Linked DNA regions of Drosophila melanogaster. The protein of the gene in region 1 purifies or fractionates together with the protein of each later gene. This does not show direct contact. Each region holds a gene or a part of one and is shown on either strand. Other genes may lie near its edges.

Region 1 (10,888 bases):
TTATTATGAAGATGTTTGAAAATTTCTCAAATATATCCAAACGTATCGAGTTCTGGACAGGGAAACACAGTATCGCTGCTGCCAATAGTTAACAACATCTGGCCATTTGCAGAAGCAAACGTGCTCGCTCCATCTGAAATTATGCGGAATTGGACAGACGAGGAGATTTTCTGGATGGACAATGGATCAGAAGAACGCGCCATCCTGTCATCCGGACAGGCACGAATCGAATCCGAAAGCACGTAAGATTCTTCATGAATACTGCATTTTGCTGATGCAGAAGAATTGTGATTACCTCTTGCTTTAATTTTTTCCTCTTCCTCTTAAAGAAACTGTATCTTATTGTAGATTAGACCTATCGGTAGATTAAAAGATTAATACCAACATGTTCATTTTTTTGGAAATGCAACGTATTATCTTATTTGAGCACCACCTTGAATATAGCAAACAATGGAAGTTCTTGAACTTGTATTTGTAGATAACTCAGTTCGGTTTCTTTAAAAGGCTCCTGCAGTCATGTAGAATGAACCATAGTATACCAAGCCGGGAAACCAAACATCGCTGCTCAGTCCAACATGATTCTTAGTCAAAATGATGGCATAACCGTACGAGTTATGAAGGAGGACGACTATCCAAGAGTGAAAACCTTCATGACGGACTACTTTCACTACGACGAGCCCATGGGAATGGGTCTCGAGGAGCCCATTCACCTGCAGCATGAGGAGGAAGTGGATAGGCAATACCTGGCGGTGATCAGGCAGGGACTATCCATAGTGGCACTGGACGATAACAACGGGGGACTACTGGTTGGCATTGCCGTGGCGGAGACGATGGATCCCATCGAAATGGCCAAGCAGCACAAGGAAGCCGAGGAAATGGAGCCAAATGCTTTGGGTCGCAGCAGGAAATTTATAGCCAAAGTGGAGCGCGAAGCCAACATTTTCGAACGCTTCGGAGTCTCCTCCTACCTGAGTCTGCTGGTCATCTCCGTTCACCCCTCAATGAGGCAAAGAGGTATCTTGGTCATACTTTCCAAATGTCTCTTTAAATTGGGTCGCCTGCGGGGACACACTCTGTTCATCACCAGCGGAACCAATCACTACTCCTCCCGGTCGGCGATGAAAGCGGGATGTGAGTGCATCCATTCGGTGGCCTATGCTGACTACAAGGACGAGTTGGGTCGGCCGATATATAATCCACCAGCGCCCCATACCCACATTCGGGTCTTGGCCTCAAAAATGTAAAAATTAAAATAATTTATTAATTAATTATTACTTTGGCCTTGGCAATTGATAAAGGTCGTCGAGCTGGAAACGCAAGTCCATATGGATCAAATAAAGTAATAAAATGTAGAACGGTCTACTTTATTGTTCAGATATTGTGTTGATTATGTATTTATCGACACATGACCTTGCAATAATTACAAAATCTGATATTAAGTAATCACTTTCCACTCGATGTATTTATCCTCAAAGATTTTGGGTCAGAAAACCATATTCGAAAAATGTTTATTACTAAAAGGATAAGTCAGTCTGGCACTTCATTAAAAATAAAACCAAAAGCCGTTGGAAACAACTTTCTCTTCGCCAAACAGAAACAATCTATAAATATGATAAGCCATTATCAGTGATAAGCGCCGAAGTATAAAAGCCATGTACACATCGGCGTCCTCTTCTGTCTTAAGAAAAGCATATAGAACGAATTAGCTCCGGATCGCGATGACTCCCACGACAATAGATGGCGTCACGATACGCATCATGCGCCCAGAGGATTATGCACAGGTAAAAGCCTATATGGAGGCTGAGTACTACACATCGGAGCCTCTGTGCCAGTCCAGCGGCGAACCCGTTCACCAGCAGAACGAGGAGATCAACGACGCCTTCAACCAGTCGATAATCGCCGAGGGCACCAGCCTTTTGGCACTGGATGAAAACGATGGTGGCCGGATTGTGGGTCTAGTTCTGGCATGTGCCAGTTATCCCGATAATGTGAATGCAGGAACATTGAATTTGAAGCTCGAGAATGTGGAGGATAACGCTTGGGGTCGAATGTATCATTTACTAATGAAGGCCAAGCGCGAAGTCAATCTGTTTGAGCGCTACGACATCCCGAAGGCGCTCTACTCCCACGTGACCAGCGTGGCCTCGTGGAAGAGGGGCAAGGGCCTGGGCTCCCGCCTGGCCGCCACCCTGATGGAGCTGGGCCGATCGAATGGTTTCCCCCTTATGATGGCCTTCTGCACTAGCTTCTACTCCGCTCGCCAGAAGGGGGCCTTGGGCATGGAGTGCATCTATTCCATCGACTACGCCGACTATAAGGACGATGAAGGACGAGTGATCTTCACACCGGCAGCCCCACACACAAAGCTGCGAGTGATGGCAATCAAACTGTGACAGTTGATAACAAATAACTGAGTCGAGGAATTTAAATAAATTATATAACTATAGTTATGTTTATTTAATACTTAGCACACTTTTGGGGGACCTATACAAGTTGACCAATGACCAATGTGTCTCGGACTTTAAGATAAGAGGCAAGATCTTGCACTGCTTTATTCTTTCGGTTCATAGTAAACAATTCAAACGGACGCGCCAAAATACAAAAACGTCCTTATCGATAACTCGGAAAGCAATTGGTTTTGATAATTAATCAAATTGATGTGTGCGATAGTTTCCGCTCACCGACCATCGCCCACCGCTAGCTGTCATTCGGCGACGCGACGAACTGAAATCAACGTGCTTATTTTCCGCTCGGTAATTTGCCAGAAAAAAACTAATCGAAATGGGCGTACAAGTAGTTCCAATTGCTCCTGGTGATGGTGAGTATCCAATGATTGGGTTAGAATCCGCAAGAAATGCCGTAAACTACCGGCCTTTCTAACCTATTTAGTGCATTTTCGCAATGCACAATTCGGAAATACCTGCGACAATATGGTCGTCCCGCTCACACACATCCATTTTTGCATTCCCCGCCCGCAGGCAGCACCTATCCCAAGAATGGCCAAAAGGTCACGGTCCACTACACCGGCACCCTGGACGATGGCACCAAGGTGAGTACGAATCCCGATCCTCGCCATCCCCAGCTAATGATCCGCCTTGAATTCCACGCAGTTCGATTCGTCGCGCGACCGCAACAAGCCATTCAAGTTCACCATCGGCAAGGGCGAGGTCATCCGTGGCTGGGATGAGGGAGTTGCCCAGTTGAGCGTCGGCCAGCGCGCCAAGCTGATTTGCTCGCCGGACTATGCCTACGGTAGCCGTGGCCACCCCGGCGTCATTCCGCCCAACTCCACCCTCACCTTCGACGTCGAGCTGCTCAAGGTCGAATAGGCGCACAGGATGCCCAATGTGTATACCCCAAACCAAATCGCAGGGGGTTGCGGACCGGCGCACCGGCGACGAGCCGAAGAACATCATAATCGGAACCAGAACAATCCAGCAGCATTTGCCAACCCAAAATAATAATGATAACTTCATACACAGCTCTAAACTAGAACTAATTTAACCGCAAAGGGAACGCATCTTCTACCAATACAAATAAACATTTATTCAAGTCAATGACAAATGTCTTTCTTATCAAAAATCTTGGGATAATCCAATCAAATCAGCTGCGGTTGCCTTTCCGTGCTGCAATACAAATGCATTTCATATTATTTTTTAATCAGGAAAATATGCAAATATAAAAACGCTTTATCATTCTCTTGATAGACTTGAAGTGGTCTACTTGACAAATTTGATTTTATTTTATATAAGTATATAAAGTGTACAAGCATCTTATTTGCATATATATTCGATTTGGAAACAGGATTTTTTTTAATTCTTTGTGCACAATTAATCCAAATTATTTTTCATTTTCTATACCACTTCCAAAATCACCTAGATACGCTTCAGTTTTTGCAGACCAAGCTCATAATCTTGTCAATAACTTCATATCGCTCCTTTTCATACTTCTTGATATGCTTTATCCAGTGTCCGCGCACTTTCTTCCAGCGGTTCATATTGGAGGACAGAAGATCGGAGGTACTGGCACCTTGGAGAGCCTTTTCCCGCTTCTTGTCCTCCTGGCTGAACTCCAGACGAGGCGGAATTATGGGCAGATCCGTGGACTTGGCCTGCGGGAGCTGGTTGATCACCTTTATCTCGCCGCTTTTAATTTGGGACAGGATTTCTTCGCCGTTGTCCTCACGTTTGGTGGCCGTGAGTGAAGCATCTGTTTGAAATGCACCCACAGCTGGATTCTTGGGTTGATTTGCCATCCATGCGCGGCATATGGGGTACAAAGGAGTCTTATCCTGGTATTTGGACAGGTCCAAACTTCGCTCAAACAGGCGCATTACGTAGGTCTCGCCGGGCGCCTTCTGGGCGACTGCCGCTGCTCCAACGCTCTTCTTGTAGAGCACTCTCCTGGCCTTGATGCGTCCTCCGGCGCCGGCTGCGGCTGCACTCGAGGATGTCGAAGGCTTCTCGCTAGAGCCCGACGTGACCGTCTTGACTTTCGGATCTAGCTTTACCTGGTACTGACGCTGCTGTTGCTGCTGGATGAGCAGCTTCTTCGAGGGACGGCCCCGAATGGGCAAATCCGACTCTGCGTCGTCGTCCGGCGGCAGGTTTGTCGTCTCTGGTTTCTGCTCCTCACGGCGCGACTCCCGCAAGCGCAGGGCCGTTTCCTTCTTTTTCGGCACAGTCTTCATTTCCAGAAATCTTGTATTCGACACGAAAATTAAGGGAAAACAATTTCGAATGCCGAATCGGAAATCAAACGGACTTACGGCGCTTCACAACACTGAAACACCACTTCGCCACGCAACACTACATAAGTCAGTGGTATTTCAAAAAATACCATAAATTAAAGAAAACAAACGGTCTTGGCGCCTAACGCTAGCTTGAGAAATAATTCTTTGAATTATTTGTAGCTTAAATGAAAAGAAAAAAGAATAACATATATATTTTTAAACAAAAACTTAATACACATTAATATTTGACTATTCAAAAATATTTAATAGACTTTGATTGTTAAATTAATACTTTTGTAGATTAAAAAAAAAAAAACAAGGAAATGAAAGTCTTAAAAATTTGGTATTTCTCGATTTGGTAATTTTAACCCAAAACCTTTCGGGCTTTTCAACCCACCTTTTATGGTCACACTGCTGTTTTGTGATCGCGAAAAGAGCGACGTGAAAAATACATTTAATTAAGTTTACTGCGAAAAATAAAATAAATAACTAAATTAAAACAAAGCGGAGCTTTTGCGTGAACTGTGTGTGTAGTTGTGAGTGTGTGAGAAAAGAAAAACGAAAACAAAGCCAACGAGGAAATCGAAGGGGCAAAAGTGGAAAAGATTCAGATTGAAAAGCACCAAAATATCGAAATCACAATTTGAATGTCAAAGAACAAACGACAAAAAGAGCGGAGCAACAAAGGAACATTGGAAAAGTCAAGAATTTAACTTATTCGGTAAGGATGCAAATTGTAAATCTGTGGATTTTGCTTCTTCTGCTCACGCACACATCCACATACAATTGGGAAGTGCACAGGTGTGGGTGGATCTGCTCTGTGTGCAAATAACAAATTGTGAAAAACAACTCGCACACATGCAGATCACCTAGTGCACCAAATAAAAGCAATAAATAAACACATTTCCAAACGGGCAACAAGTTGTGAATGCGTTTTTTAAGGGGGAGGGGCCATACCAAGTTTCCCAACGTTTCACATTTTCAATCGATCTCGGTTGTTTTTATATATGTATGGATATTTTTTATCTACTATTGCGTAGCTGCCAATGTCACCTGTTTTTTGCTCTCTCTCTCTCTCTCTCTTGCGCTCTCTCCCTCCCTCTCGCTCGCACCCACGCTGGCTGTAGCTGGTTTTTATCTTGTGCCGTTAACACAGCCATTACGTGTCTCTTTCGCACTCGCACTGCACATTGGTGTTCGTGTGTCTGTGCAAGACTGCACGTAACTGTATTACCCATTCGTACATGCGTATACGTATTTCCGCCTATTGATAACGGCTGAAACTCCCTCGAAATGGCCGTCTTTTCGAAATATGTAAACGAATCGTTCGGGTACATCCCCCGACCACCACCCACCCACCGCCCACTCAACCCCCTCCAAGCGCTTCTAATCGCAAAGTGCAAATATTGATTTGCTATGTGTGCTTTTAGATTTTCTCCCACTATCAATAACAATAAGCGCTCTCTGTACGTTGTTTTTGCTTCGGTTTGGTTTCGTATTAAGAAAACAAGTTCACAAGTTTTTGCACTTGTTATGCACTGTAAGAAAAACGCAAGTTTTATTCAAGAGCTCCGCATTACCGCATTATATTGCCAATTGTGAAACTTTTATAATATTTATACTAGCAGCTTAGTTTTGTAACTTTCGGAAATAAAAAGTTTTGGTAAAACAAACAAGAAACATTTTATTTATTTTTTTAAGTGTTGATCATTGTTGCTGTTTCGTTTTGTGACTTTGTTTATGTGGCGGTTTTCTTGTAATTGCGGGAATTTCCCGGCATTTCAGCAGTTGAGAGTGCAAATATAAAGCAGAGAGAGAAACCCTCATCTGTTTGTGATTATCTGAATTCTTCTTCCGTATTTAAGCGTTAACTCTGCTTTTGAGCGACAAGGCTGTTAAATATTTTCAGCTATAACACCAAAATTACCCTTTATCTCGCAATATATTAATAAATACAAGTCTCCAAAAGACGTCATAAATTAAAACGCGATTTAAATGACGTTTAAAGCGACTTCTAATTTATGTATGTTTATCACGAACTAAAAATTTAATTACTTTATAAATTTTAAATTCTCAAGATAGTGAGCAACTATGTATGTTTTAAAGAAAAAATTGTTGGAGTTCCACAAAATTTCGTTTGAAAAATTGAGTTTTTATGTACCAAATATGCAAATCAAATGAAACTTAAAAGCTGACTTAGAAATCCTTTTGTTTATATGGGTGAAACTAAATAAATCCTTTTGTTTATGTAAATCACGTTCGATTGTGTGCTTATTCCACGCATTAATAACTGCCTTACTCCATGCACAGAGTACAGCTTTTTTGAATGTCATGCTGATATGACAGAGCTGAAACGCTCTTCTGACATAATAGATTAATACGTATAGACTCATTTTCATAACGTTGGTCCTTCTATTCAAATACTGTATCAGCAAAACTTAAGAATCTTACATCTAAGTGTTTAACCTACTTGAGTAACTACTGTACGGTGTATTCCTGCGATCTCAATGAAAACTTTCCCATCAATTTAAATCTATCTTATCGCCAGCAATTTTGTTGATATTTAGCTTCGGGAAGGGACGAGTTCAGGAAAATATATAGTATATGTGTGTGTACATATGTATGTCCCCTGTTGCGAAGAGACACAAATGTCGCGCGATAACGTGGGCAACCGCAGCACACCTGGTTGGATTTGGACATCGACTAAAAATAACTCCGCTTCGATTATTTTCACAAATTTGAAAAGGCAAATTGCGGCGATTGGAGGGTTCATCACAAGCCTCCAACATCGATAAATGAATACCGTGTATTAGTTATTATTTCAGAGGAGACAGGCGAGGTGTTCCACTTTGATTTTCCATAGCGATCGCTAAGTTCCATTGCCCCTCCGAGTTTGATTCCCATGCCCATATTCAATTCTAGAATTCGGCAATGACGTCAAGGCCTGACGTCTGCAGAAAATTCCGCAAAACGCCTCTTCAAATTATTGGCGAGGCAAGAAAAGCAAAAGAAAATCGGCGAGCGAGCAGCGAAATACAAAATAAAATTATTTTCGTTCCATTTTTCGTCTTTTGGTATTTTGTGTGGCTGCTTCCATTCCATTTCATGTCTCTGCATTTGATTTATAATTTTCACAATTCACATACTTTTCGTTGCTCTATCTCTTTTTTATTTAATTTCCGACTCGTTTTTTTTTTTTTTTTTTTTTTGCGACAAAGTGAAAGTTGTTTTCCATGTTATTTACTGCTGCCTCTTTCCTTCGTTTATTCCCTTCGCATTCCCTTTCCCGTTCTTTTCGTCTGTCCATATGTTTTGTGTTTCAAAACCAAGTTGAAGGTGCGGGAGGGACGCCATCTAGTACGTAGTTCCTTTCGCAATTATTTTTGTATTCAAGCATATTTTTGGCGATTTTTTGTTATTTATATATGTTTATTTTTTGACATGCCAGACAGAGAGATTTCCGGTCAATATGCATCGATACCTCAAAGTCTTCGAGGGCGCCAAGGCGGCATGGTAATTCCCCAGTCCAGCCAAGATATTAACAGACTTATTGGGTTGATGGACAGAGCGATTACACGTTCGTTTCGCTGTAAATCAATCAAAAGTAATAGATTTGATAGAAACCATTAAAAGCTAGCTTTGGCATTAGTTGAAAAGTCTTAAAACTGCCACTATTTCAGGATAAAACTGGTTTGGTAGATATTTTAAATATTTCGAAAATAACAGAGTACAAAATTAATTCTATTAACAACATTTTGATGCCTTTTCGTTTGTTGGCATCTGTGTACCGAAATGTAATCAAATCATTGGAAATTCCCATAAGACAATTTCATGTAAATCGGCAGAAGAACACGTGCCACCATGATTTTTACAAAGGCATTTTAATGAATGGAAATTTTGCTCAACTAATTACAAGAGTTTTCCCGTAGTGCGCACACCCACCGAAAATTTCACGCCCTCACAATCCAAAATACCTAAACAATCGTGAGCTGCCATAATTTTAATGACTTTGTAAACTTTTTTTATTTTGTATGCTTTTGGCACACAGTGCGAACTTTTATTTATTTTTTTTTTCATGTCTTTGTTGCTCTTAGCTTGTTTTAAGTTTGTTTTGCGTGTCCTCGAAAAGGCAGAATGAAATAAAAAACCGAAGTATAGAATAATACAAATGATCTTTTACCTGTACCATAAGTACATACATATATTGTGCAAACAGTGCGTAGCGAAAATGTAAGTGTTTCCTAAAATCGAATGCATCATAAATACACAGTTTGCAAACATAAAAGATATAGTAGTTCCTTTGATATTTGTACATCTATAAAAGTAATTTATAAGAAAGTTCCTTCACTATGGGCAATTATACCATTATTCACAAAATAATGGTAAGTGATTTTATTAATAGTCCTGTTGAGAATAACCCATTTGTTCAGATATCTGGATAGTATCCTTGCAGATGCGAACCGCACTGTACTTTGAATATGAAGGAAGATACATTTGTATGCACAGTATTATCATTCCACACGAGTACTCTCAATTTCTTATATACACTATGGCCTGCGAAATATTTGACGTCGATTTCCGATTTTCTGGCTTGTGCATTCTGGGCAACGCGTCTGTATGTGTGTATCTTTGTATCTCTATCTCTCCTATCTGCCCTGCATATATCTGGCTAATTGTGAAGGTCGTTTACGTCTGCAGTCGATCGCCCCATGCTTGTTGTTGTTTGTCTGCCACCCGCTATAAGGAAAAAAGAAAAGCGAGGGGGAAAACCGAAAGGCAGACGAAGCTGGCAAACAAAACGTAGCAATCTAAAGAGCACAGAAAACGAATTTTCATTGCCTTCCCATCGACCCCTTGGCACCAAAAAAAAAGGAGAAATTGTCTAAATATTTTCAAATATCAGATCGCAATTTACGTGTTCCGCTCATCCGTTTATAAGTACCCCACAAAATGATGTTGGAATTTTATGGAACTAGCGAGAAAAAAAAAAATAAAAAAAAATACAGAAGACAAGAAGAATTGTTTTCATCATATTCTGGGGTTTATCTTTAATGGCTTCTTAATTTCCTTAGCAACTTGAAAATGTTGTTATCGCAAGCGAAAACCGCTTGGCTTTGATTTTAAAATAAACAGCAACTGGAAAGTGTGAAACATATACATAGACAATTATAATTTATTATTTATGTTTTGCTGGCCAATTTTAAGGCGCCATCGCCGCTAATTTAGTGGCTTATATTTGAATGAATTATACATTTCTTGTATAGATTTTGTCTCGCTGACATGGTTTTGCTTCGGTTTATTATTTGTTTTTATTTATTTTGTTAGTATAAAAGTGGGACTGCGAGGGCGGTTCTAATACTTGGCTAAGCCGCTAACTAATTTAGGCGCTTTTCATTTGGTCGTTGATGGACAGCAATTAAATGCTTATCCCATTTGATGGGTTTTCGCTTTTTAATATTAATTTCCTGCGTCTTCAACTCTTTCACCTTAGCAAGCATATCATTAATTTTGTGCCTTGATTTTTTTGCGTTTTTTTTTTTGTTTTGTTTTATATGTACATGCTTCTTGTTGTTGTTGCCTTTTTTCGAATATTTCATTCAATTTTCTTAGCTTCGTAGTGTTGGTGTGAAAAACACCCACACAAAAATTTATTTTTATAAAAGAGAGCGGCTAAGAGAAAGATCCAAATTTCTGTTACAAAGTGGTATTGGTGTGGCAAAAATATTGAATGATTTAATTGATTCGTTACGGGATCTATTATTTTTCTCACATTTATTGCGAATTTCCCAGCGTAACAACCTACTTGTTCCACATTGCGTATGCTTGATATGCGCCATTTTATTCAAGTATTCCCATTGTGAACTTCACAAACTTCGCAACGGAATGTTTTGTTTTTTATTGTGTGTTTATTGTTAACTCTGTGTTTTAGTTCGAATTTCTACAATTTTCTCGGGAATAAGTACACATATTATACCTTTTGTTTACGCTCTCTCAAACATTTTCCACACACACACATAAGCCGAATGTGTGCCTCTTTGGTGCTCATCGTGATCTTTTCGATTTGTAGGCCTTTAGTTCTCAAAATGTGCGATATTTGTACTTCAGTTCTTCGCTGGCATTTAAAGCGTTCAAACGCGTTCGAAGCAAACGGAAATT
Region 2 (10,044 bases), on another chromosome or scaffold:
ATTCAACAGAGTAAAGGTGACATTCAAAGACGAGCCGGGCGAGGGATCGGGTGTAGCGCGCAGTTTTTACACATCGATCGCAGAAGCATTGCTGGCCAGTGCTAAGATCCCCAACTTGGAGTCCGTACAGGTGGGCACCAATCATAGCAAGTACGTAGTGCCGTTCTCGAGCATCCTGCGCAGCAGAACAGTATCGGGGTCTAGTCGCGATCAGTCCACTCTGCAGAGGCGTGGTTCCAACAGCAAAATATTGTGGCGTTCGGCCCGTGAGAGGAAGGCATTGAATTTGGATGCCAGACCGTATACTCCACCAAATAGCTCAGGTAATCTATAAAATCAATCTTGTTCTATGTATTATATTGACCCACTTATTGGAACTGCAAATTTAGATAATGCTACGCCGGAAAGCCTGAATGATCACTTGTCCGTTCACCTACAACAAATTGGGGAACGTCTTTACCCGAAGGTAAGCGAATTAATCCAATTGAAGTTCATAATATTAACAGTCCGACTTGATCAACAGATCCATTCGATAAACCAAACGCATGCACCGAAGATAACAGGAATGCTGCTGGAGATACCCACTCCGCAGCTCCTGTCCGTAATTTCCTCAGATGAGACGCTCCGTCAGAAAGTGAATGAAGCGATAGAAATAATCACGTTTAAACAAAAATCTGAGACCAGTGCACAAAGTAGTCAACCAAAAAAATCACCATCTGTCGTGGTAGTGGATCCCGTTGATGATGATAATGAACCATTATTTTACTCACCGGGAAAGCGGGGCTTTTACACACCACGCCAAGGCTTTGCATCATTCGAGCGCATTAATGCATTTAGAAATATTGGAAGGTAAGCTAAGTGCTCCCTTATTCGATTCACTGCTTTAACGCCGCCTATCTCTTTTCTCAGACTTATTGGACTTTGTCTACTGCAAAACGAATTGCTTCCACTGTTCCTACAAAGACATGTACTAAAATACATTCTTGGGCGTAAAATTAAGTTCCACGACTTGGCATTTTTCGATCCAGCATTGTACGAATCTTTTAGACAAATTATTCAAAATGCCCAAACAAAGGAAGGCGAGGAAACTATAAATCGTATGGAGCTATGCTTTGTGTAAGTAATCCCACCTTACTTGATAGTTTAGGCTCTAAATAACCTGCCATTTCAGTATCGATTTGATGAAGGAGGAGGGCTGTGGTAACAGAGAGCTTATCCCAGGAGGGCGCGATGTCGCTGTCACATCGAGTAATATATTCGAGTACGTCAGACGCTATACAGAATATAGACTAATCAAATCCCAAGAAAAGGCACTGGAGGTATGGGCAAATATTGCGTAAAAATGTATAGCCTTATTACAACAAAATATTGTCTACCATTCACAGGCACTGAAGGACGGAGTTTTTGACGTTTTGCCCGATAACAGCATGATTAACTTAACCGCTGAGGACTTGCGTCTGCTGCTAAACGGTGTTGGTGATATAAATGTTTCGACACTAATTTCATACACTACCTTTAACGACGAATCTAGCGAGGGTCCTGATAAACTTTTAAAATTTAAGAAATGGTTTTGGAGTATTGTGGAGAAAATGAACATTATGGAACGCCAGGATTTGGTAAGAAGAAAGATGGTCCAATGAGCTTCAAACATTCATAACAAACACAATTCTTGCAGGTTTACTTCTGGACCGGCTCTCCTGCGCTTCCAGCTTCGGAGGAGGGATTCCAACCATTGCCATCTGTCACCATAAGACCTGCGGATGACTCCCATCTACCGACTGCGAATACTTGTATCTCTCGGCTGTATATCCCTCTTTACTCCAGCAAATCTATTTTACGCAGTAAAATGCTGATGGCCATTAAATCCAAAAATTTTGGATTTGTATAAGCGATTGGAAGTCTTTCCCATCTGTATAAGCTTCAAATTCATTTCTTAATTAACTTTAGTTTTTTTTTGAGTTTCGACTTTCGTCATATTTAACCATACCATTCCCATTTCGGATTATATATTGTTTAAAATTTATTCGAATTTGAACAATTTGTACGTAACATTATTGAACAAGATTGGCTCGGGTCATGACGGTCTTGCTTGACCCAACGTGTAGTAAAAATATGAAACTCCCCAACATCCATTGTAACCAATAAAACGGCCAATTAGGTAATAGGAAGCCTATGTTTTAATTATTAAACTTTTAAATAAAATATGTTTTCTAAAGTATGACTTATGCACATGTATATTTATCGATATCGATTCAATAGAAATTTGAAGAAAAAACCAATAAAAATAAGTCCACCTTATGGAAATTATGTATGATATAAAATTGACTTCTATTTCATTTGGAAAAATTTTCCCTTGGACTAACAAATAGTTCAATTCACAAAGATTAAGATTTTTCATTTATTTAGTTTAGTCATAATGATAGGCTATAATACCGAAACATCAAAGCTGTACATAATCCAAGCTTTTGATAATAAAAATACATGCTTAGCTTAACCTAGAATTGCATAAAGTGCACTGCAAGCACTTGGTTAGTTACATTAGACTGTTGTCCTTATAAATATTCGAGGAAACGCAATCTTCCTAAATACATTTATACACAAAACAATAAGGTACCACAAATAACTCATAAAAACGAAGCACATTAAATTAAAAACGACTACTTCCCCTTATCAGCGACACAAAAAAATATAAATAATAAACAGGCAATGCGATTATTCAATGATCACTGGGAACTTCTCCACTTCCTCGCATTGCTTGTTGAAACTGGTGACGAACTGCTCCAATTTAGCCTCATGCTCGATGTCTCTGCGTGGCCGTTTAACGTGATGCCGCTTCTTCTCCGGAGAATCCAAGCTCTTGTCGTGCGAGTCCTGCTCGTCCTCGTCCTCACTTTCACTTTCGATGTACAATATCTGCACTCGCTTCTTTCGCTTACGTTGCGGACGCTCCTTCACATAGGTTCGTCTGGGTTGCTAGAACAGGTTGAATTTTTAAAACAATTAGGCGCCGTTTGCCAAAATAAAAGATTTCAAATGTTGTATACAAAACTACAGACTTACGACTAAAATTTTTATTTGTGTGAGCGGCTTACTACCGATCAAAGAAAGACTTAAATCTTTGCGGCCCTGTTTGCTCAACTAAAACGTTAACGTCTCAGTTTTAAGTTAATCTAGCGTTATGAGGTCAGTGTCTACACTCACTGTTTACAGTGTCGACGCTTTCCCAACGCTTGGACGAACCCATTACATAAATCCTACCTTATCGGCAAATGATTGCTCCGGCTCGTCCTGGTCAACCCTAAACAATCCCATCGATTCCCTAGCAGTGGGTGCAGCAGGTTTCCGTTTCGCCGGTCGGGGCGGCGCAATCATAGTGGAGCACAACATATATCTGATGTCGGTTTGCTTCGAATGTGATTCGCCCAGGCAATCGGAACGAATAGAGGTATATGATACTTGTGGAAGCTCACCATCTCTGGGTCGCAGCTCCGCAAGACGATGGAGCTTATCATGCAGATTTACATTTTGACTCAGCCCCGTGAAATTGGCTGGCGAATCTTGGCTTTCGGTGATAAATTCATCGAATCCAAAGAGGTTTTGTGAAGATGATGTTCGTTCTTCCGTATTCGTTTCCTTTTCTTTTGGTATATTTTCACAGGGCAATATTTCGTTGCATCCGAAAGTATTTACTTCCGTTTGATTACGATTAGCTAAAGCAGGAGTCACTTCTCTGTTTAAGGACATACTGGTAGGAGCGATACCTTTTGAGGGAGTAGTTGACTTTCTAGGTATATCTTCACATGCAAAATCATCATCGAAACCAAAAAGATTCGACCGCGTTTGACTGCGTTGCGCTGGGGATGACGTCGCCATTGGACGAGGTGCCACTCTGGTAGGAGTGATTTCTTTTGAAACAGTGGCCGTCACGTTCTTCTTCCAAGACGGCAGTGTCACTACTTCTAGTATGTTAATATCCTTAAAGGGCGTTCGTTTCTGCAGCGTTCTCCGAGGATTCGGCAGGTGCACAAAGTTCTCCGCATTCTCTTCGCTTTCCTGGTCATTGATCGACATCGATTTGCTAATTGTGGGAGGGGGACGGTTCTCCTCATTCGAGTCGTTCGCATTTGAGTCATGATTTTGCTCGTGCAAAGGCGGACAAATGGATTCCTCGTGAGGGATGTTCTCAGCATGCTCTACCGGCGAATCTGGCACATAGACATGCCGACGTTGCACATGATCACTGGAGTACGATGGCATCTGGGAGTTGTTGAAACCAAACATGAAAGTATTGGGCAATGGTGAATCGTCGGAAACGCGCCAGGGGGATTTGCCTCCCGCGGTCCTAACTGCATTTGGAGACTGGTGGGCAATAGGCGACAATGCAGTGGTGGTGGCACTAACATCTGTCACCGGAGGAGCTCTGCGATTCAGCGGCGTGCTAACCAATTGTCGCGCCATGTTGATAAGTTCTCGACGTCTGTCTGTAGATGGCAGTGGATTTTGCGCCTGGGTCTGGTTAAGCATTACGGATCGGGCCAAATTACTGTAGGCTCCTTCGTGCGCTTGCTTAGAAGTGCTCGGCTCCACATGTACCTGGACGGGCACTTCGATGGGCTGCACGTATCCGTGCTCCGAATCGTTGCTATAATCTTCCTCGGGCTCGAAAATGGTCGATAAGGAGCGTGATGGCTTTTGAAGGCGCGGTTCTATGGACTTGGGAACGACCTTGACTGGCTCAGGCTCATTGTCTTTTGTCGAAACCTTTCTTCGATTACCCACAGGTCGGACCTTCTTTGCTGTTCTTTTGGCTCTCGGTTTGCCGATTTTTCTTGACCGCACCATTACGCAGGCCTTTCCATCCTTAACCAAACGCTGAATTATGTCTGCCGCCGGATCCTCCCTGTCACTGTCATCTTCGATCTGCGACTGCGACAGAAAATCGAAAACGTTGCGGGTCACCGATGATCGTGTCCTGGTTAAAGGCTGATCTCTGTGGAAGAAACGAGGTGGTTTTTTGGGCGAAATCTCAGCTGCCGGTCCACTAGGGCTTTTACTCCTTATGCGTTGCTGACATGGCGATGTTTCGGGACCTGCAAGTAGTTGTGCTTATCAAGAAAAGTCCATCATCCGCCTGGTGAGAGCCTCTTACCTGCCACATTTTCCTTGATATTTTGGGGTTGCGTTGATTTCTGTACCTTCGAAGGAATGTACATCGTCGAGTTGCGAGCCGGCTCAAAAGTGCTGGCATCCACATCAGGCGCATCATTTCGAGAAATTTCGGATACGACACCGTTTTTTACCTTAATGCGCCTTATTTTTACCACGCATTTTCTTATGCGACACTCTGGCTCGTTTAGGGCTGTCAAAGATTGTTTGTTTGATAGTTTCGTGGGACGCCCGGGTTTTCGTATTATCGTGGTCAAATCAGCTCCGAGTTTCTTGGGACGCCCGGGTTTACGTATTGTGGTCAAATCAGCTCCGATGGACAGCTTCTTGGGACGCCCGGGTTTGCTTATCGTTGTGCTTAAGTCAGCTCCGATGGACTGTTTCTTGGGACGCCCGGGATTGCGTCTCGTTGCGGTGTTCACATCTGGCGACGGAACACACGGCACCGGCCGTGTTCTTACCATTTTAAGAATATAATTTGTTTACCAAATGAAATTCATGTACAGCTCCCGCCATTTTATTTACTAGTATGACCATCCCCCGATCTCTAAGACTTGCCATGAAAACCACTGAACACCAGTAGGTGTGAAGCTTGACTAACCAGCTAACCGAGACACTTTTCAACACTGAGCGCCAGGGACGGAGCACCGATAGTTGTCGATAGGCGGACAGAGAACCAGATGATTGGCCTCGCAATAATGTAAAAAATAAATAATTAGCTGTTTCCAAATAATCCAAATTCCAAATTCCTTGCACTACGATCCACCGTGCGTGTGTTCGTCGCCGTGAATGTGTGCGGGCAGTTTCGTTTCACGCGCCCCAAGCAAGTACAGCTGAAAATTGAGAAGGAAAGCAAGAAAGAAAACCCCCCAAACTGAAAATCGAGTGAAAGTTTTCTCATCGTCTTTGTTTTGTAATTGTGATTTTCCTGCCTGCTGCCAGCGCTCATTACTGGCAATATTGGATCGACGTCGACATAGTGTCGCTGCTGCGGGCGCGGGTGGCCGACGGCGACTATAGCAACTACACCTTATAGCTACTATAATACTAATGCTATACTCGCGGTCCCTATTGTGATTGTGTTATATATTTAAATCGACTCGATTCGAATCGAATCCAATCGCTGTCGTGGTCGCAGTCGCATTCGCGTTTTCTGGGACTGCTGCAAAAGGCCTTGCGATTTTCTGCGCCAGGTACTGTGTAAAGACGTCGATGTGGGAAGGGGGGTGGAGGCGGTTGTGGGATGGTTGGGATGGCACGGGGCGAATCCCAATAAGAAACTAGCGCGAAAACTGGCATACCAGCGTACATACATACGTACGTACATCGCACGCGACACATGCCATACATACATAGGCGAATTATAATGGCAACAAATAAATGCAACCGACCCAGCAGTTGAACCACTACCACCTATACCACCACTACTACCAAAACCAGACCCTATCCAATTCATTCCAATCCAATCCCAGGCAACGAGAACCCGAAGGCTGACTGTGACGCCAGTGGGGGAAATGGAAATGGAGCCAAGGCAGATGTACATATCTGTGGATGTATCTGCGAATTATGTCTCAGGGTCAAGGACACTGCTTCTGCCTCGCTAACCGTTGTTTGACCTTATTAACGAGTCGGAAGTGGTGGATTCGCCGCTCACCGACTTTAGGGATACCCTTTCGGTTCGCTTATCCAAAGAATAGTAGCTTAGTAGATACATTCATTGGTAGATAGTTGTCCCCCAAAACGAGTCATGCATATAGTCTTTATACTTTGCAAAATAAGTCAAGGTAAATTGAAATGTCCTCCAAATTGTAGATTTCCCTGCGTACTTATAAATCCAATATTAGTTTTTAGATAATCTTTTTCTTTTGAATGCAACATCTCATTAACTTCCGACAAAAGTCAACATAGCTATACATTATTGATCAAACTCTTCGTATCTTCAACCAACTTCGACTAAAATGATTGTCTAAGCTTACAATTGTTCAGAAATTAAACTATTTTGAAGTAAAAAAGGCAGCCAGGTGGATTTGACTAGTAAAAGCATATTTTATGGGATCCCCTTACTTGGTGACACTCGTGTATCCCATATCAAATATTCAACGTATGATCCCTTTCTCCTTGGCAGATCAACTGCATTGGCCGGCTCCGCGCATAAACAATGTGCGATACCAAAGACGATGCGCAGAAATGGAAATGTGAAACTTGCACCTACGAGAACTACCCATCCTCGCTGAAATGCACCATGTGCCAGGCGTCCAAGCCGCTGCTCAACGAGGACATCTTCCGGTATGACAACTCTGACGATCTATACCTAATCTTCTGCTAATTAATACTTGCTAATTCTTGCAGTCTGAGTCCAGCCCAGGAGAGCTGCACCGTTGCGGAGGAGGCGGCTGCCGTCGAAGTAGCCGTAATGTCGCCCACACCTTCGTCCACGTGCTACTCGCTCCAGCCGCAGAGCCAGGCACGGCAGAGCAACGTGGCGGACAGCGAAAAGTGGCCCTGCAAGGTGTGCACCTATCTCAATTGGCCGCGGAGCCTGCGCTGCGTTCAGTGCTGCACGAAGCGCGGTGGCGAGGCGATAGAGCGTGGCAAAAAGGACATGGATAACGAGGCGGACGGGGATCGTGCAGGAGAGGCGCTGCAAGCCCTTCGCATCAGCGGCTCGGAGGAGAACCTGGCCAATAAGCCGGTTCAGCTCATCGGCGCCACGGCCTCCCATCGTTTGAGCCTTAGTCGTGGCATAGACGATGCGACCCATCTGAACAATCTCGCCAATGCGTCTCACAACCAGTCGCAGTCCCAGCACCGGCAGCCTGTCCTACAGCAGCAGATGCAGCTCCAGCTGCAGCCGCAGCAACAGCGGGAATCCTCATCCTCCGCCGCCGTCCCGCCGCAGCAGCAGAAGCAGTGCTATGTCTCCAAATGGGCGTGTAACGTAGGTTTTCATATCCCAACCAATTCGCTCAGATGTACTTAAAGTTAGAATTTTCCTTAGTCTTGCACTTACGAAAACTGGCCGAGGAGCATCAAGTGCTCCATGTGCGGCAAGACGAGGGAGCGGGAGATTAGTGGGTCGCAGAACGACTTGCACGCCTCATCCAGCCTAAACAGTCAGGAGGAGAATCAGCAACAACTGCAGCAGCCAAACGTGGATACCGTCAGCGTCAATAACTCGTTCAATAAGAAGCACATTTACCAACTGGGTAAGAGTTTTTAATGTGATTTCTCTGGGTATGACTAATTGATATTCACTTTCCAGGTTCTTCGGAAACCATCAACAACTGTGATACGCTGCAAGAGCGTCAGGAGCGCCGCCAGCGTCAAATCCGACGACAGGTGGACTGGCAGTGGCTGAATGCGTGCCTGGGCGTCGTGGAGAACAACTACAGCGCTGTGGAGGCGTACCTCTCCTGCGGTGGCAATCCAGCCCGTTCGTTGACCAGCACCGAGATTGCCGCCCTCAACCGCAACTCGGCCTTCGACGTGGGCCACACCCTGATCCACCTGGCCATTCGTTTTCATCGCGAGGAGATGTTACCGATGCTGCTGGACCAGATCTCCGGTTCGGGGCCGGGCATCAAGCGTGTGCCGTCCTACGTGGCTCCCGACTTGGCGGCCGATATCCGGCGCCACTTTGCCAATACCCTGCGCTTGCGCAAGTCCGGTCTACCCTGCCACTATGTGCAAAAGCACGCCACCTTCGCCCTCCCCGCCGAGATTGAGGAGCTGCCGATACCCATACAGGAGCAGCTCTACGATGAGCTGCTCGACCGCGACGCGCAGAAACAGCTGGAGACGCCGCCGCCGGCCTTGAATTGGTCGCTGGAGATCACTGCTCGCCTGAGCTCACGGATGTTTGTACTGTGGAACCGCAGTGCTGGCGACTGCCTGCTGGACTCGGCCATGCAGGCCACCTGGGGCGTCTTCGATCGTGACAATATCCTTAGGCGGGCACTCGCCGACACACTGCACCAGTGCGGGCATGTGTAAGTTAAACGAATTTGTTTTAACAACCGTCAGCTTATTAATAGTCTTGATACTCTTATTGTAGGTTCTTTACTCGCTGGAAAGAGTACGAGATGCTGCAGGCTTCGATGCTCCACTTTACGCTGGAGGACTCTCAGTTCGAGGAGGACTGGAGTACACTACTGTCATTGGCCGGCCAACCCGGCTCGTCCCTGGAGCAACTGCACATCTTTGCGCTGGCGCATATCCTTCGTCGGCCGATTATCGTTTACGGCGTGAAGTACGTCAAGAGTTTTCGGGGCGAGGACATTGGATACGCGCGTTTCGAAGGTAGCTATTAATTTTTACGTCGCTGTATTGCATTTATTTGATTGCCTTATTTCTAGGTGTCTACTTGCCTTTGTTCTGGGATCAAAACTTTTGCACCAAGTCACCGATAGCACTGGGCTACACACGTGGCCATTTCAGCGCCCTGGTGCCGATGGAGCCATTCACTCGCATCGATGGGCGGCGTGACGATGTGGAGGACGTAACCTATCTCCCGCTAATGGACTGCGAGCTGAAACTTTTGCCCATACATTTCCTTACACAGTCGGAGGTGAGAGCTTATTCAAATATCCTGTAGAACATTGTGAGCTTAGACATTTCCGTTCCTTGCCTGCAGGTTGGCAACGAGGAGTCAATGATGCGTCAATGGCTGGACGTGTGCGTAACTGATGGAGGCCTACTGGTGGCGCAACAAAAGCTAAGCAAGCGTCCCTTGCTGGTCGCCCAGATGCTGGAAGAGTGGCTAAATCACTACCGCCGCATTGCGTAAATATGACTTGCTCTCCTTCCGGACATAGACATGCTAATTAAACCTGTAAACTTTCTTTCAGACAAGTGATAACGGCGCCTTTCATTCGTCGC

Evidence for each region. Proteins that work in one complex are often made in the same cells at the same time.
Region 2: the proteins of Tab2 (region 1) and trbd purify together in Drosophila melanogaster (affinity purification with western blotting, with the first as the bait; one study listed by BioGRID). This does not show direct contact.

Annotation. Positions count from the first base shown.
Region 1 is NT_033778.4:19,287,408-19,298,295, forward strand, and holds the start of Tab2 (TAK1-associated binding protein 2), read left to right. Parts: upstream 1-5,121; 5' UTR 5,122-5,453; intron 5,454-10,835; exon of another isoform or gene 10,836-10,888. Other genes in the region: AANATL6 (arylalkylamine N-acetyltransferase-like 6), read left to right, coding at 576-1,244; AANATL4 (arylalkylamine N-acetyltransferase-like 4), read left to right, coding at 1,719-2,393; Fkbp12 (FK506-binding protein 12kD), read left to right, coding at 2,782-2,818, 2,979-3,049, 3,111-3,329; mip40 (Myb-interacting protein 40), read right to left, coding at 3,887-4,690.
Region 2 is NT_033777.3:9,706,796-9,716,839, reverse strand, and holds the start of trbd (trabid), read left to right. Parts: upstream 1-5,802; 5' UTR 5,803-6,359; intron 6,360-7,291; 5' UTR 7,292-7,324; coding exon 7,325-7,452; intron 7,453-7,515; coding exon 7,516-8,104; intron 8,105-8,164; coding exon 8,165-8,372; intron 8,373-8,428; coding exon 8,429-9,155; intron 9,156-9,220; coding exon 9,221-9,465; intron 9,466-9,521; coding exon 9,522-9,733; intron 9,734-9,799; coding exon 9,800-9,948; intron 9,949-10,013; coding exon 10,014-10,044. Other genes in the region: hyd (hyperplastic discs), read left to right, coding at 1-323, 390-466, 524-849, 910-1,116, 1,172-1,319, 1,386-1,616, 1,676-1,888; dmt (dalmatian), read right to left, coding at 2,713-2,973, 3,259-5,090, 5,150-5,630. UniProt on the Drosophila melanogaster protein: Positive regulator of the Wnt signaling pathway. Specifically cleaves 'Lys-63'-linked ubiquitin chains. May act by deubiquitinating APC protein, a negative regulator of Wnt-mediated transcription.